Arabidopsis thaliana: one gene and its partner. The protein of the gene in region 1 interacts with the protein of each later gene in a pairwise test. Each region holds a gene or a part of one and is shown in the gene's direction. Other genes may lie near its edges.

Region 1 (10,214 bases):
CGTCAGTTTCATGGACTCTCCAATGATATTTTGATGCAGTTGGAGAAGAAGGATTTGGTGTGGGAGAGGTACTATGATCTATCCGCACAGGAGCTAGGAGAGCTTATTCGCAGTCCTAAGATGGGCAAGCCGCTTCACAAGTTCATTCACCAGTTCCCAAAAGTGACTCTTTCTGCACATGTTCAGCCTATTACTCGCACTGTTCTGAATGTGGAGCTTACAGTTACACCTGATTTCCTGTGGGACGAGAAAATTCATAAATATGTTGAGCCGTTTTGGATAATTGTGGAAGACAATGATGGTGAAAAGATCCTTCATCACGAGTATTTTCTTTTGAAGAAGCAGTATATTGATGAGGATCACACTTTGCACTTCACTGTGCCAATTTTTGAACCGTTGCCACCTCAGTATTTTGTTCGAGTGGTTTCAGACAAGTGGCTTGGCTCGGAGACTGTGTTGCCTGTATCTTTCAGGCATCTTATTCTTCCAGAGAAGTATCCACCTCCGACAGAGTTACTGGACTTGCAACCTCTCCCAGTGACGGCGCTAAGGAATCCGAATTATGAGATACTCTATCAGGATTTCAAGCATTTCAATCCAGTGCAGACTCAGGTCTTTACTGTTTTGTATAACACTAACGACAATGTGTTGGTTGCTGCTCCAACGGGAAGTGGGAAAACTATTTGTGCGGAGTTCGCTATTTTGAGGAATCATCATGAAGGACCTGATGCTACAATGCGTGTTGTTTATATTGCACCACTTGAGGCTATTGCCAAGGAGCAGTTTCGTATCTGGGAGGGGAAGTTTGGGAAGGGTCTTGGTTTACGGGTTGTTGAGCTAACTGGGGAGACAGCATTGGATCTTAAGCTGCTTGAGAAAGGCCAGATAATCATAAGTACTCCTGAGAAATGGGATGCTCTTTCCCGCAGGTGGAAACAGAGAAAATATGTTCAACAAGTTAGTCTTTTCATCGTCGACGAACTCCATCTAATTGGAGGTCAACATGGTCCAGTGTTGGAGGTAATCGTTTCCAGAATGAGATATATTTCAAGTCAGGTCATTAATAAGATCAGGATTGTTGCGCTATCCACTTCGCTTGCAAATGCAAAAGATCTTGGGGAGTGGATTGGGGCCAGTTCCCACGGCCTTTTCAACTTCCCTCCCGGAGTCCGTCCTGTTCCACTGGAGATCCACATTCAGGGAGTGGATATATCCAGTTTTGAAGCCAGGATGCAGGCGATGACCAAACCAACCTACACCGCCATAGTTCAGCACGCCAAGAACAAGAAGCCGGCTATTGTTTTCGTCCCAACCCGTAAACATGTCCGCTTGACTGCTGTGGATCTGATGGCTTATTCTCACATGGATAACCCGCAGAGTCCTGATTTCTTGTTAGGGAAGCTGGAAGAACTGGACCCTTTTGTTGAACAAATCCGCGAGGAAACACTGAAGGAGACACTGTGTCATGGTATTGGATACTTGCATGAGGGTTTAAGCAGTCTGGATCAGGAGATTGTGACACAGCTCTTTGAAGCTGGACGGATTCAGGTTTGTGTGATGAGCAGTTCATTGTGTTGGGGCACTCCATTAACTGCGCATTTGGTGGTCGTAATGGGAACGCAGTATTACGATGGGAGGGAAAATTCACATTCTGATTATCCAGTCCCTGATCTGCTTCAGATGATGGGGCGTGCTAGCCGACCACTTCTTGACAATGCCGGGAAGTGTGTGATCTTTTGTCATGCACCGCGGAAGGAGTATTACAAGAAGTTTTTGTACGAAGCCTTCCCTGTGGAAAGTCAGCTCCAGCATTTCTTGCATGATAATTTCAACGCAGAAGTGGTTGCTGGGGTTATAGAGAACAAGCAAGATGCCGTGGATTATCTTACATGGACTTTCATGTACAGGAGGCTTCCCCAGAACCCTAACTACTACAATCTCCAAGGTGTTAGCCACAGGCATTTGTCTGATCACCTATCAGAGCTGGTTGAGAACACCTTGTCTGATCTTGAAGCCAGTAAATGCATTGAGGTAGAGGATGAGATGGAACTCTCTCCTCTCAACCTTGGTATGATTGCATCCTATTATTACATCAGTTATACCACCATTGAGCGCTTCAGTTCACTGTTGTCTTCTAAAACCAAGATGAAGGGACTTCTTGAAATCTTAACATCGGCTTCAGAGTATGACATGATTCCTATACGGCCTGGCGAAGAGGACACCGTTCGAAGATTAATCAATCACCAGAGGTTCTCTTTTGAAAACCCAAAATGCACAGACCCTCATGTGAAGGCAAACGCGCTTCTTCAGGCGCATTTCTCAAGGCAAAACATTGGCGGGAACTTGGCAATGGATCAGCGTGATGTCCTTCTATCTGCAACCAGACTTCTTCAAGCGATGGTCGATGTGATATCAAGCAATGGCTGGCTGAATCTTGCTCTGCTAGCTATGGAAGTAAGCCAGATGGTGACTCAAGGCATGTGGGAGCGGGACTCCATGCTTCTGCAGCTCCCTCACTTCACAAAAGACTTGGCCAAGAGGTGCCAGGAGAATCCAGGGAAAAACATTGAAACCGTATTCGATCTTGTGGAGATGGAGGATGAAGAACGCCAAGAGCTTCTCAAGATGTCAGACGCTCAGCTTCTAGACATTGCCAGATTCTGCAACCGCTTCCCAAACATCGACCTTACTTACGAGATTGTGGGCAGTGAAGAGGTGAACCCAGGGAAAGAGGTTACATTGCAAGTGATGCTTGAGAGAGACATGGAGGGGAGGACAGAAGTGGGACCTGTGGATTCACTGAGGTATCCCAAGACCAAAGAAGAAGGATGGTGGCTGGTCGTGGGCGACACCAAGACAAACCAGTTGCTGGCAATCAAGCGTGTCTCATTGCAACGGAAAGTGAAGGTGAAGCTGGATTTCACAGCACCGAGTGAACCAGGAGAGAAGTCATACACACTATACTTCATGTGTGACTCTTACTTGGGGTGTGACCAAGAGTACTCGTTCTCTGTTGATGTCAAAGGATCCGGCGCTGGAGATCGCATGGAAGAATGATTTGTTATTCAGGTTAGTTCCACAGTTTTCTGGTCATAGTTTTCGGATTTAGATTCTGTACATGGTTGTAGTTTTTGTGTTACGAACTTGGCTTTACTAGATTCTGCTATGTGCATTGACCAACTCGCTTTCATCTATTGTTTGAGTAATTTGTTCATCAATCTGCTATTTTTCTGTTTCGTCTGTTTTCTTTTTGCATGAGCTATGTATTAGGTTTTACTCTTGAGCATTGATTTACTTATCTAGGTATTAGAATACAGGTATGCTCATGGTATATATATACCTAGTATTGTGAAATGATTGATTGATAAGTTAGTGAACAATGTTGATCAGCAAATTGTTAGAAATCTGTATAATTGGATGGTGATTTGATGTGTGCTTTGGATGGTGATTTGATATGTGTGCATCACTGCTATATGAAAACTGCTTTCTTGAATCATGTCTCATAAAAATCTCACATGATGTTCCTTTAAAATAGCTGATAATAGATTTTGTATTTTGAAATCCAGAAAATGACACATAATTTCTCTTCTTTGCAGGCTATGCTGATTCTGGAGAGTGTGACTTGTCTTCCAAAAAGCCTCCGTACCGTTTGGGTCTCTGCAATCTTAGCTCTCTGAGAATATATATTAAGGTGTAATCGTTTTTTTCTGGTCTTTTACTATTCCAATTACTCTTTTTATGTCGTGCATCGATTTTTAATCCTATGTATGGCTTGTTTCTAGTTTTGTTTGGACCAAACTCGACAGAGGAGCCAATGTCAAAACTACAATTTGAGTTTGTGACTTTGAAAGCTGAGATTACTTGAAAGAATTTTAAATGCAGCAGTGTTCATTTTGTAACATCTGAGTTGTGTGATACTGGCTTATTGAGTCACCGATAGTTTTTCCTTAAAACTAAAATGTACTATTGCAAGTAAAAACCAAACAAAAAAAATTCATTCAAACTTGCATTATAACCAAGTAAACGTGATCAATAGAAACTTGCAAAATCACAACCAAAATATTTGTCCAAACAATATGTAGTCAAAACAGTCTGTTGTGTTCATAAAAAAGTCATATAACGATACACCAAAAAGAAAGAAACGGAGGTGTTTGGTTGGTAGTATATTCCTCCTCCTCCTCTTTCTTCTTCTCCCTCCTCACTATATATTTTGAAGTTTATTAACAAGAACCAAAAAAAGTCACACTCGAAGTCTCACACCACACCAACCACTTCTTCTTCTTCTTCTTCTTCTACATAAAACCTAACGCCATGGATTCAGATTTCGGAATCCCCAGAGAACTCTCCCCTCTTCAGCAACTTCGATCTCAGTACAAACCTGAGCTTCCTCCTTGTCTCCAGGTCCCTTCTTCTACTTCATAGATCTACTTCCTTCCATTGTTCCTATCATTGGATTTATTTGAGTACTTAGTTTCTTATTCAATATTATCATTCTTGGATTTCTGCAACTATTCCAAGTTTTTGTTTATCTTAATTCGATGAACTTTGCTCCTTAAGCAGATCTGATTTCTAGATTGTATTGTTCTCGGATCTGTTTTATTTCGATTCCTAAGTTTCATTGGCAGTCTCTTCAGCTTTAATCAGTTGAACTTTGTCATTTTCTTATTCTGCTTGAAATTCGTTTCAGGGGACTACTGTCCGCGTGGAGCTTGGTGATGGAACCACTGTGGCTGAAGCTGCTGATTCACATACCATGGCTCGTGCTTTCCCGCATACCTTAGGCCAGCCTTTGGCTCACTTCCTCAGGGAAACTGCTCAAGTTCCTGATGCGCACATCATTACCGAGCTTCCTTCAGTTAGGTGTGTGAATCTGTTTGCTCTCTATCTATATGTTTCTGGATTGGCGTTTGTGTTTGATTTAAGTTCTATTCAGCTTAAGTTAGTTCTTTTTCTACTGTAGAGTTGGAATTGTGTTTTGTGGAAGGCAAGCTCCAGGTGGACATAATGTGATCTGGGGTCTTTTCGAGGCTCTCAAGGTGCACAACGCAAAAAGCACTTTGCTAGGATTTTTGGGTAAGTTCTATTATTTTTTATACAACTGCATCATTTGCCAGTTTAGAGATTTTTTGTTAGACTTAAGTAAAATTTGTTGTTGACTGATAATAGGTGGTTCCGAGGGTCTATTTGCACAAAAGACTCTAGAGATTACAGATGATATACTTCAGACTTACAAAAACCAAGGTACTTGTTTGATCAAGGCATTGTCGTCAAATGCAGAATCTCCCGTTCATTGCTTCAAGTTCTGATATATTGGTGTTGAAATGTATGTTGTAAGGTGGTTATGATTTGCTCGGAAGAACTAAGGATCAGATCAAAACAACTGAGCAGGTTAACGCTGCACTCAAAGCTTGCACAGATTTGAAGTTAGATGGCCTTGTTATCATTGGAGGTACCTAGCGTTTTTACTTATATTCATTGGCAAATTTTTGTCTTTAATTTTTACTAAACCAAGAATATATATTGTGGTTTTTGAAGGCGTAATATCAAACACAGATGCAGCTCATCTCGCTGAATTTTTTGCTGCTGCAAAATGCTCAACTAAGGTCCTAATTTCTTTTTCTACAGTTTCATTTTAAATTCCTTTATAAAAATGCTACGGTAATTAAGCTCCTATGAAATTACAGGTGGTTGGTGTTCCAGTTACTACAAATGGAGATCTCAAAAATCAGTTTGTGGAGGCAAACGTGGGTTTTGACACCATATGCAAGGTAAAATGTAAACTTTAACCATCTGGTTACTTTGTCTTAGTTATCTTTTGTAGCTATTGCAGCAACATGATGCCGTTGTCCCTCGTAAGTCTTTGCAGAAACTATATGTTATTGTTTGCTAATGATATTTTGCGGCATACAGGTGAACTCACAACTCATTAGCAATGCCTGCACTGATGCCCTTTCTGCAGAGAAGGTAAAAGCTATTTCTTCCTGAACTTTCATGTTGCAAGAGATTGCTAGGGCATTCTTAACTGCAGTTTATTAACTTCATATTCTGATAAGACGAAATATTTCGATGAAGGATGTGAAAGCAGAAAGCTACTACAAAGTTATATTCTTTATGATTCTGATATCAAGTTCTACTTTCTTTTTTATTTGCAGTATTATTATTTCATCCGCCTCATGGGTCGTAAGCACTCTCATGTTGCCCTTGAGTGTACACTCCAGTCTCATCCAAACATGGTTCGTAACTGTTTCAGTTTCGAAACATAGACTATTGATTCTGTTGGCATGTTCATGCTCTAGACTCTCATTATCGTGTCATCCGATTGTCTCAGGTGATACTGGGCGAGGAGGTTGCAGCATCTAAGCTCACAATTTTTGACATTGCTAAACAGATCTGTGATGCTGTTCAAGCAAGAGCAGTAGAAGGTCTCGTAATGAAAACCATCTATGATTAGATTATGCAATCATGTATTTTACTGTGTTTACTAAATCTGGTACTATTTCATTTGTTTGAACCAGACAAGAATCATGGAGTCATCCTCATTCCTGAAGGGCTTATAGTCAGTATTCCTGAAGTCTACGCTCTGTTAAAGGTAATGATTTGATACTTGTTTCTTTCTTCAATACTGAGATGTACTTCTTAGTATAAATCACGTATAAGCTGACATTTGTTTGATGTAGGAAATTCACGGGCTGCTGAGGCAGGGTGTATCTGCTGATAAGATTTCTACTCAGCTCTCACCTTGGTCATCTGCTTTGTTTGAATTTCTTCCTCCATTCATTAAGAAACAGGTTCAAATTCTTTGAAATTAGAATTATCTTTGTTTTCGTTCAAAGCAAAGGTGTATTAATACATATAAGATGGTCGCCTTTCTTGCTACAGCTACTTCTCCATCCTGAGTCTGATGATTCTGCTCAGCTATCCCAGGTAATTATGAAGAACAAACAGAATATTTTGGACCTACTATGTTATAAAAAAAAAGTTGGAATCCTAAATGCTCTTTTTGCTTTCTACTCTAGATTGAGACAGAGAAACTTCTTGCGTATCTCGTGGAGACTGAAATGAACAAGCGCTTGGTATGCTCCAATTTTATCATTGGTTTCTATCTTTTCCCAATACTGTTATCTAAATAATGGAGTCATTATTTGGCATCAAAAAATACTATTGCTAATGTAATGAAATCTTTGAATTTGACAGAAAGAAGGCACATACAAGGGGAAGAAATTCAATGCCATATGTCACTTTTTTGGTTACCAAGCTCGTGGATCTCTTCCATCGAAATTCGATTGTGATTACGCCTACGTAAGTCACTAACAGTCTGTGCCACAGTACCAATGCAACTTCATAATTTAGATGAATATTAACACTATTGAATGGGAGAATCATGCAGGTTCTTGGACATATATGTTACCACATCCTTGCAGCTGGTCTGAATGGTTACATGGCAACAGTGACCAACCTAAAAAGTCCTGTGAACAAGTGGAAATGTGGTGCTACACCTATTACAGTTGAGTTTTGTCGTATTTTCTATCTAAAAGACGGCGGTTAATACAGTGTATTTCTATACTAATTCCCCATTCTTTTATCTCTGGTATTACCTTTTAGGCGATGATGACGGTGAAGCATTGGTCCCAGGATGCTAGTTATACTTTAACTTCAATTGGTAGACCTGCAATTCATCCAGCTATGGTGGATTTGAAAGGCAAAGCATACGAGTAAGTCAGCTATTACAGAAAACATGAACACACTCACGTTTGGCCTTATTTATCAATTGTTTGAATGTGAATGGTTTTCTTGCAGCCTCTTGAGACAGAATGCACAAAAATTCTTGATGGAAGATCTGTACAGAAACCCAGGACCGCTACAGTACGATGGTCCTGGTGCGGATGCTAAAGCAGTGAGTCTCTGTGTTGAAGATCAAGATTACATGGGACGTATCAAGAAGCTGCAGGAATATCTTGACCAAGTAAAAACTTTTTGTTTTTGTGTTTTTCTCTGCTAATTTCGTCAAGTATCGAATAATGTTCTTCGCCACTTTCATATTTATTAACATTTTTGGGGTTTGGTCAGGTGAGGACGATAGTGAAACCAGGATGTTCTCAAGACGTATTGAAGGCAGCACTGAGTGTGATGGCTTCGGTGACTGATGTTCTTACTACTATTTCTTCAAATGGTGGTCAATGATTTGCTTAAAACTTAAGGACAAAGCTCTTATGAATCACACACGTCGTGTTTGTTCTCTTCTTTTTGTTTTCTTTCTTTTGAGATGTAACTTTTGTTGTATTTTTTAAGTTATTGAGTTTGGAAAGACATAAAAATTGAAAAGGTTTGGATTATAGAGGCGCTATTTCACCATATCAATCCTTGTCCAACTTTTATTTTTCAGTTTCACTATTATTACAAACTTTTTTTAAATATGACAATTAGGCATGCATGCATGATGCATATAGCAATAGCATCGCTTGAACACGATTTTGTTTACAAAAAGAATCATTAAAATTTTAAGAGTTACATTTTTAATCTTAACTACACCAAAATACTAGAAATACAGTGTATCTTGCAAACTAACTTTAACAACCAATGACGTGTCATGTTCCCAAATCCCAGTTATAAATTTTGATAGATTTTTGACAGTATCTTAGGTACAGCTTTGGCATAAATACACTTTTATTTATTTTAAAAACTATCTTTAGCCTAAATACATTGTTAGTTATTTAAAAATTAGAAACTAAATGAAGAAATTATTTAGATATTAAGAAATATTTATCATTAAAAGATATTAGATTTTGTCATTTTTTTATATTAGTAAATTTTCTTTGTTCAACTAATGAAATTAATAACTAACAGATTATTTTGCAAAATGACAAACCTATAAAATATATATTAATATTTGATTTTCAAATTATCTTGCAAAATCATTCAAAAATTTAACTAAATTTATATTAATGTTGTATTTGAATTTTTCTTATAATGGTGAGATACTGAGATTATCCTTGATTAGAATTGATTGTTACTTTTTTTTGGTAATAATATGTTGTCTATTATTATATATATATATATATATATATATATATATATATATATGTTGAAAATAACACAAAAATATTCACATACGCCAAGCAAAATAGAATCATGAATAATTTGCCAAGAAATTCTCAATTTGATTCATCTTCCATCATCAATGATTTACCTTTAGACCTTCTCGACGAGATTCTCTTCAGATTAGAACCCAAATCTATGGCTATGATGCGATGCACTAACAATTCTATCAAATCATATTTAAGTGATCCAAGATTTGGACCGGAATATCCTTCATGGGTCAGACCTAGTTTGTTTAACCTTGGTAGCTATGGCGCTACTTATGTATGTTGCCATCCTTTGGTCTCTTCATGCGATTATATGTCACCGGGAAATGGAGTAGAACTGTTTGATGGTAGTGCGGATTGTTACATTTTCGGCTCATGCTCTGGTCTTCTCCTATTGTACATTGGTTGTCTCTTTGTTGCAAATCCCTTAACAAAAAGGTTTCGAATCCTGGATCATTCTGGATCAAAGCTTATACCAATGATAGTTAATGGTGGACTTAAAGGTCTTAGCGGAATTAGTTATCCTGGAGGTAATGTTGCTTGTACGGAACGAGCGATGTGCGTTGGATTTGCGGTAAATCGAAATCTAACAACCAAGAGATTCAAGATCGTGGGCATACTCGAGATGGAAAACGTATACGGATTCGAGATCAACGAAGGAGACTCTTGGAGATTATCGGAAACGAGTATCACCACTAGCTCAAAAAGTGATCTCACTACGCGGATGAAACCTGTTTACTTGGACAACACTCTTCACTGGCTGAGAAACGATGGCAGCATCATGTCTTTTAATCCCGAGACAGAGCAAGCATGCTTGATTCCTTCCATATTTCATCGGGAACCGGATACGAAGCTACTTTTCGCGGAAAGCGTTAAGATCAATCGCCTGACCCTAATTTCGGGGACGATAGAAACAATCTCCGTTTACACACTTGTCGAGAATCACAAATGGACACTCACAAGGCGGATCAAGAACATATCTATCGAGGAAGAAACGCTTGTATATTGGAACATAGCTATGTACGATGGCAAGTGTCTTGTGGTGAGGGTGAAAAAGATGGGTTTAGAACCTTTGGCAAGTGTTCTTCATGTGTACGACATGGAAGCTAACAGTTGGGGAGTTTTGGTGTC
Region 2 (5,877 bases), on another chromosome or scaffold:
ATCTTTTTGTGGCCGACGGATTTAGTAAAAAAAACAGTATAATTTTTATAAAGATGGGCCCAATAGTAGAATCGTACGCTCAAGATTCCGTAATGAACGCGGGAAGTTACGTCATTGTGACCCTACTTACTTAGTGGAGCTCAATGTCCAATATACACCGTTGGATTTGTTTAATCCTCCTTTAGATGGGCCCAGTTTTTAGTAATATTCTATTCAATTCAGCACGTTATACAATTGCTTTTAAAGCCCATGGCCCATAATACTCAGACAGCCTTAAATGCTTCAGATTAACAAAGAAAATGTTTTAGATTTTATGGATAGTGTGATTAGAGTCCAATTATTTTGGAATTTAATTCGGTTAACCAGTCGAACCGGATAATCTGTAGAAATCCAGTTTTTTTTTTGGAAGACTACATATTTGTCTAAAGCCCATGAAGGCCCATTAAACCCAACGAACACAAACAATCTTCAAAATGCTCCTAGAATTTTCTGGATTCACCTGATTTTTCTCATAGACGTCCTCTAGATGTTTCTGTATTCCCCATAACAACTCGAGAAGCTCGAGAAATTTCGGTTAGTACCTTTAAATAGCTTCAAAAATCCTTCGTGTGTTCTATCAGAAATCGAAAAATCAAAGTTCTCAAGAAGATATCAACAAAAAAAAAAGTAAATTCTTTAAAATGTCGATGATTCCAAGTTTCTTCAACAACAACAGACGAAGCAACATCTTTGATCCATTCTCTCTTGACGTATGGGATCCATTCAAGGAACTAACATCATCATCACTTTCTCGTGAGAACTCAGCGATCGTGAACGCACGTGTGGACTGGAGAGAGACGCCTGAGGCCCACGTGTTTAAAGCTGACTTGCCTGGATTGAAGAAGGAGGAAGTTAAAGTTGAGATTGAGGAGGATAGTGTTTTGAAGATCAGTGGAGAGAGACACGTGGAGAAAGAAGATAAGAATGACACGTGGCACCGTGTGGAGAGATCGAGTGGACAGTTTACGAGGAGGTTTAGGTTGCCGGAGAATGTGAAGATGGATCAGGTTAAGGCTGCGATGGAGAATGGTGTGTTGACTGTTACGGTGCCTAAGGCTGAGACTAAGAAGGCTGATGTTAAGTCTATTCAGATCTCTGGTTGAGTAATGGGTTCGAGTTTTATCATCGGAGTTGCTTGTGTTTTTGTCATGGTTATGGTTCATGTTTTACTTGAGTGTGTGAGTACTCTATCTAAATTATAATAATCTCCGATTGAGCTATGAATTATGATGTATCGGATACATTTGATCCTAATGAAGTATGGAATAAATAATAATTATTAACCTTTGTCTAAATTCAAAAGAAGTTTAACCGACGAGATGATTTCGCTTAGAGTTCGATTTCGGTTTAACTAAACCAAATCAACCGATACCGTGAATCAAGACGGAATCAAACCCAAAAACTGAAAAGGTTCACATTATATAAATGTTATATTTTGATTTAGATTATTACATCATTTCTTTCAAAATGATTAACATTTTGTTTGATAACTGAATATTTCTTCTGTTTTACAATGTCATTCATTTCAAATGTTTGGCAGACAATGAATTGGCCAAAAAATAGACTCTTCAAAACAAAAAAAGTTGTGTGTTTTACAAATACAGTCGATACATTAATCTCTCAGTTTTAAACTTTTCAACATATGAATCTTAAAATATAAATTGTAGAACGTAATCATTTGGAGATTTGTTATTTCTTGGTCGGCTAATTGACTGGAGATTAGAAACACTAAGTGTTGGTCAAATATCTTAAAACACTAAGACGAATGACGTTGGCAATGACGTGCATACCTTAAAATATAAATCAGTCCTTTTCTGGTGTGATCTTCAAGATATCCTTGGATACAAAGACAAAGAGAAAGCAAAATGGTCCTTTTATTTATTTGTTTATTTCACCACCCATAACTTCATTTGTGTATAGAATATAGTAAACTCAAGTAATCAAGCAAGTAAACGAAACATAAAAAAGAAAAGTAGTGCAAGAAACAGAGGAGTTAGATACCAAAAAGTGAGAGATATCGAATGGCGGAGAAAGAAGAGAGTGTGAAGCTTCTAGGGTTTTGGGCAAGCCCTTTTAGTCGTCGAGTCGAGATGGCTCTCAAACTCAAAGGCGTGCCATACGAATACTTGGAAGAAGATTTGCCCAACAAGACCCCTTTGCTTCTGGAGCTAAACCCGCTTCACAAGAAAGTTCCGGTTCTTGTCCACAATGACAAAATATTACTCGAGTCACATCTGATTCTCGAATACATCGATCAGACGTGGAAGAACAGTCCAATTCTTCCTCAAGATCCTTACGAGAAGGCCATGGCTCGATTTTGGGCCAAGTTCATCGATGACCAGGTATACTAATATTGATTTGCAGATTAATTAGTTGATTCTATGCAGAACAATATTATATTATTCGCTTGTTTATATATTGTTCTTTACTTGCAGATCCTAACACTAGGGTTTAGGTCCCTTGTAAAAGCAGAGAAAGGAAGAGAGGTTGCTATTGAAGAGACTCGGGAACTGCTTATGTTTCTTGAGAAAGAAGTCACTGGAAAAGATTTCTTCGGTGGCAAGACAATCGGATTCTTGGACATGATCGCAGGAAGTATGATCCCATTTTGTCTAGCTAGACTTTGGAAAGGTATTGGAATTGATATGATTCCAGAGGAGAAGTTTCCGGAATTAAATAGATGGATCAAGAATTTGGAAGAAGTTGAGGCAGTGAGGGGATGTATTCCTCCAAGAGAGAAACAAATTGAGCGCATGACCAAAATTGCAGAGACAATTAAGTCTGCCTAAATTAAAGATACTTCTTGCCTACGAAAATATTTGATTTATATGCTTGCATCGTTTTTTATTTATATTTTTATTTTTTAAAGTTTTTCGAAAAATAGAATGACCTAATATTTAAGTAAAAAGATCAAAAACCTATTTGAAAGTTACAGCAATCAAATAACGTGGTGTGTCTGGAGATTGTAAAAGCCAAGACTAGAAGGAAATAAGAATAAAATAACCAAAGTGACCTCAGCAGTGACTTGGTTACCTTACTGATGTCTTTTTTTTTTTTTTTATCTTCAAGATAAGCTTGAGAGTTGAGACTACAAAAAAAAGCACAATATTGTTTTTAAAGTGACAGAGAGAGTCAGAGAGAGAGATCTAATGGCGAAGAAAGAAGAGAGTGTGAAGCTTCTAGGGTTTTGGATAAGCCCTTTTAGTCGTAGAGTCGAGATGGCTCTCAAACTTAAAGGCGTACCATACGAGTACTTGGAAGAAGACTTACCCAAAAAGAGCACTTTACTTCTTGAACTAAATCCGGTTCACAAGAAGGTTCCGGTTCTTGTTCACAATGATAAATTATTATCCGAGTCACATGTGATCCTCGAATACATCGACCAAACTTGGAATAACAATCCAATTCTACCTCACGATCCCTACGAGAAGGCCATGGTTCGGTTCTGGGCCAAGTTCGTTGATGAGCAGGTACTCTAGTCTAACTAATTAAATTGATTTATAATATTGATTGCAAAATAAATGAGAAACACTTGAGAGTTATTAGAAGTTCATTACATTTCAAGCATTTATATCAGGATTATTTGTAGGATAAAGTAATTTTCTAAGTACTTTTTTTTATAGATTGGTATAATAACTTGCAGATCCTACCAGTTGGCTTCATGCCCCTAGTAAAAGCAGAGAAGGGAATAGATGTTGCTATTGAGGAGATTCGAGAAATGCTTATGTTTCTTGAGAAGGAAGTCACTGGAAAAGATTTCTTTGGTGGCAAGACGATCGGATTCTTGGACATGGTTGCGGGAAGTATGATCCCGTTTTGTCTTGCTCGGGCTTGGGAATGTTTGGGGATTGATATGACTCCAGAGGATACGTTTCCAGAATTAAACAGATGGATCAAGAACTTGAATGAAGTTGAGATCGTGAGGGAATGTATACCTCCAAAAGAGAAACATATTGAGCGTATGAAGAAAATTATAGAGAGAGCTAAGTCTACGTTCTAAATTAATGATAACTTCATAACTCTGTGTTCTAAAATAATGACTATGTGCAGCTTGTATCGTTTTGTTATTGAAAAATTTGAAACAAAGAATGAATGTAGCTGCATTGGTAGTGGAAATCAATTAATGGGTGCAAAGTGAAATGTTGAAAGCTACCTATTATAACTATAATAACAAATATTGATTTATGGTTTAGGGAAAATAAATTGCAAAGATGGTAAATCTAAGTTCGATAGGATGATGAGTTAATTTGTTTCATGATGTGTGGTATTGATTACATGATGTTTGATAAGAAGTTAAGAACATTAACGTATGGTTGGTTAGTATTGGTTTATTGTGTATTGTTGGTTAGTATTTCAGTTTAGTGATATTCTGGTTCTATTAGTCTATCCAATTTTGTATTAGCATTGGTAACTCAATTTCTTCAAGAAATGAAATAACAAATATTTAACATATCTCTCCAAAACTAATACATCGGAAGTGAAAGATGAAAGACATGTTCAAAGAATATTTATCAAAAAAAAAAAAAAGAGAGATGGTCAAAGTTAGACATAAATATTGACTTTTGAGGATTCTTAATATTTTGAACACATGCTGAAATGTTTAGGCGTGAGGATAAATGATGAACACATTTGAAAGTGACGGCAATGATGAACAACTACCTTCTAGATGTTCTTGGATGATACACATGAATGATGTACATACATTGAACTTGTAATTAAGTGTTCCTCACAACTCTAATTAGAAAAGTATGCTTAATTATTGGAGTAAATGGCCTAAAAAAGACTTTTCCTTTTCCTTTATGCCTTTATAATCATGCACAATTTACATGAGAGTATATATAAAGATTAGTTAAATAAAAAATAAAAAAGAGGGAAAGAGATTGATTATTCAATGGCCGAGAAAGAAGAGGGTGTGAAGCTTATAGGGTCTTGGGCAAGCCCATTCAGTCGTAGAGTCGAGATGGCTCTCAAGCTTAAAGGCGTGCCGTACGATTACTTGGACGAAGATTATTTGGTTGTCAAGAGCCCGTTGCTACTTCAACTCAACCCGGTTTACAAAAAAGTCCCTGTTTTGGTTCACAATGGTAAAATATTACCCGAGTCACAACTGATCCTTGAATACATCGACCAAACATGGACAAACAATCCTATTCTACCGCAAAGTCCATATGACAAAGCCATGGCTCGATTCTGGGCCAAATTTGTCGATGAACAAGTAATTCTTAAGACAAATTCGTTTATTAACTCATTGCAGATGTTATTTATAGAAATTATGAGAAACACTTATAACTACCGGTCACATTGAATATATATGCACATAATTCTAGTCATGAAACGTTTGCTATATATCGCTACCGTGTAGGTCACAATGATAGGGCTCAGGTCACTGGTGAAATCAGAGAAGAGAATTGACGTTGCAATCGAAGAAGTTCAAGAACTAATTATGTTGCTTGAGAATCAAATCACGGGAAAAAAATTATTCGGCGGAGAGACGATAGGATTCTTGGACATGGTCGTGGGAAGTATGATCCCGTTTTGTCTAGCTCGGGCTTGGGAAGGTATGGGAATTGATATGATTCCAGAAGAAAAGTTTCCAGAGCTAAACAGATGGATCAAGAATTTGAAAGAAATTGAGATCGTGAGGGAATGCATTCCTGATAGAGAGAAACATATTGAGCACATGATGAAAATTGTAGGACGAATCAAAGCGGTCTAAGAGACAACATGATACTCTTTGATCCAGTGATGTTAAGTTGTTAACTAAATTTGTATTGTCTTGTTATTTAAAAGTTTTATGAACAATCTACTAAATAAAGATGAGTGTGATACATGTATCCA

The links. Proteins that work in one complex are often made in the same cells at the same time.
Region 2: the proteins of AT1G20950 (region 1) and GSTU2 interact in a two-hybrid assay, tested with the Arabidopsis thaliana proteins (one large-scale study listed by BioGRID).

What each region holds. Positions count from the first base shown.
Region 1 is NC_003070.9:7,295,434-7,305,647, reverse strand, and holds AT1G20950 (Phosphofructokinase family protein), read left to right. Parts: upstream 1-4,014; 5' UTR 4,015-4,311; coding exon 4,312-4,401; intron 4,402-4,687; coding exon 4,688-4,860; intron 4,861-4,960; coding exon 4,961-5,073; intron 5,074-5,166; coding exon 5,167-5,241; intron 5,242-5,335; coding exon 5,336-5,449; intron 5,450-5,535; coding exon 5,536-5,603; intron 5,604-5,684; coding exon 5,685-5,768; intron 5,769-5,910; coding exon 5,911-5,964; intron 5,965-6,152; coding exon 6,153-6,233; intron 6,234-6,328; coding exon 6,329-6,422; intron 6,423-6,515; coding exon 6,516-6,589; intron 6,590-6,677; coding exon 6,678-6,788; intron 6,789-6,879; coding exon 6,880-6,924; intron 6,925-7,016; coding exon 7,017-7,073; intron 7,074-7,194; coding exon 7,195-7,299; intron 7,300-7,387; coding exon 7,388-7,504; intron 7,505-7,602; coding exon 7,603-7,712; intron 7,713-7,797; coding exon 7,798-7,963; intron 7,964-8,067; coding exon 8,068-8,181; 3' UTR 8,182-8,409; and 1 more. Other genes in the region: emb1507 (U5 small nuclear ribonucleoprotein helicase), read left to right, coding at 1-3,057; AT1G20940 (F-box family protein), read left to right, coding at 9,130-10,214. UniProt on the Arabidopsis thaliana protein: Regulatory subunit of pyrophosphate--fructose 6-phosphate 1-phosphotransferase.
Region 2 is NC_003071.7:12,628,544-12,634,420, reverse strand, and holds GSTU2 (glutathione S-transferase tau 2), read left to right. Parts: upstream 1-3,099; 5' UTR 3,100-3,188; coding exon 3,189-3,509; coding exon of another isoform or gene 3,510-3,514; intron 3,515-3,682; coding exon 3,683-4,039; 3' UTR 4,040-4,223; downstream 4,224-5,877. Other genes in the region: AT2G29500 (HSP20-like chaperones superfamily protein), read left to right, coding at 681-1,142; GSTU1 (glutathione S-transferase TAU 1), read left to right, coding at 2,061-2,381, 2,475-2,828; AT2G29485 (uncharacterized protein), read right to left, coding at 3,447-3,514, 3,690-3,831; GSTU3 (glutathione S-transferase tau 3), read left to right, coding at 4,931-5,254, 5,402-5,755. UniProt on the Arabidopsis thaliana protein: May be involved in the conjugation of reduced glutathione to a wide number of exogenous and endogenous hydrophobic electrophiles and have a detoxification role against certain herbicides.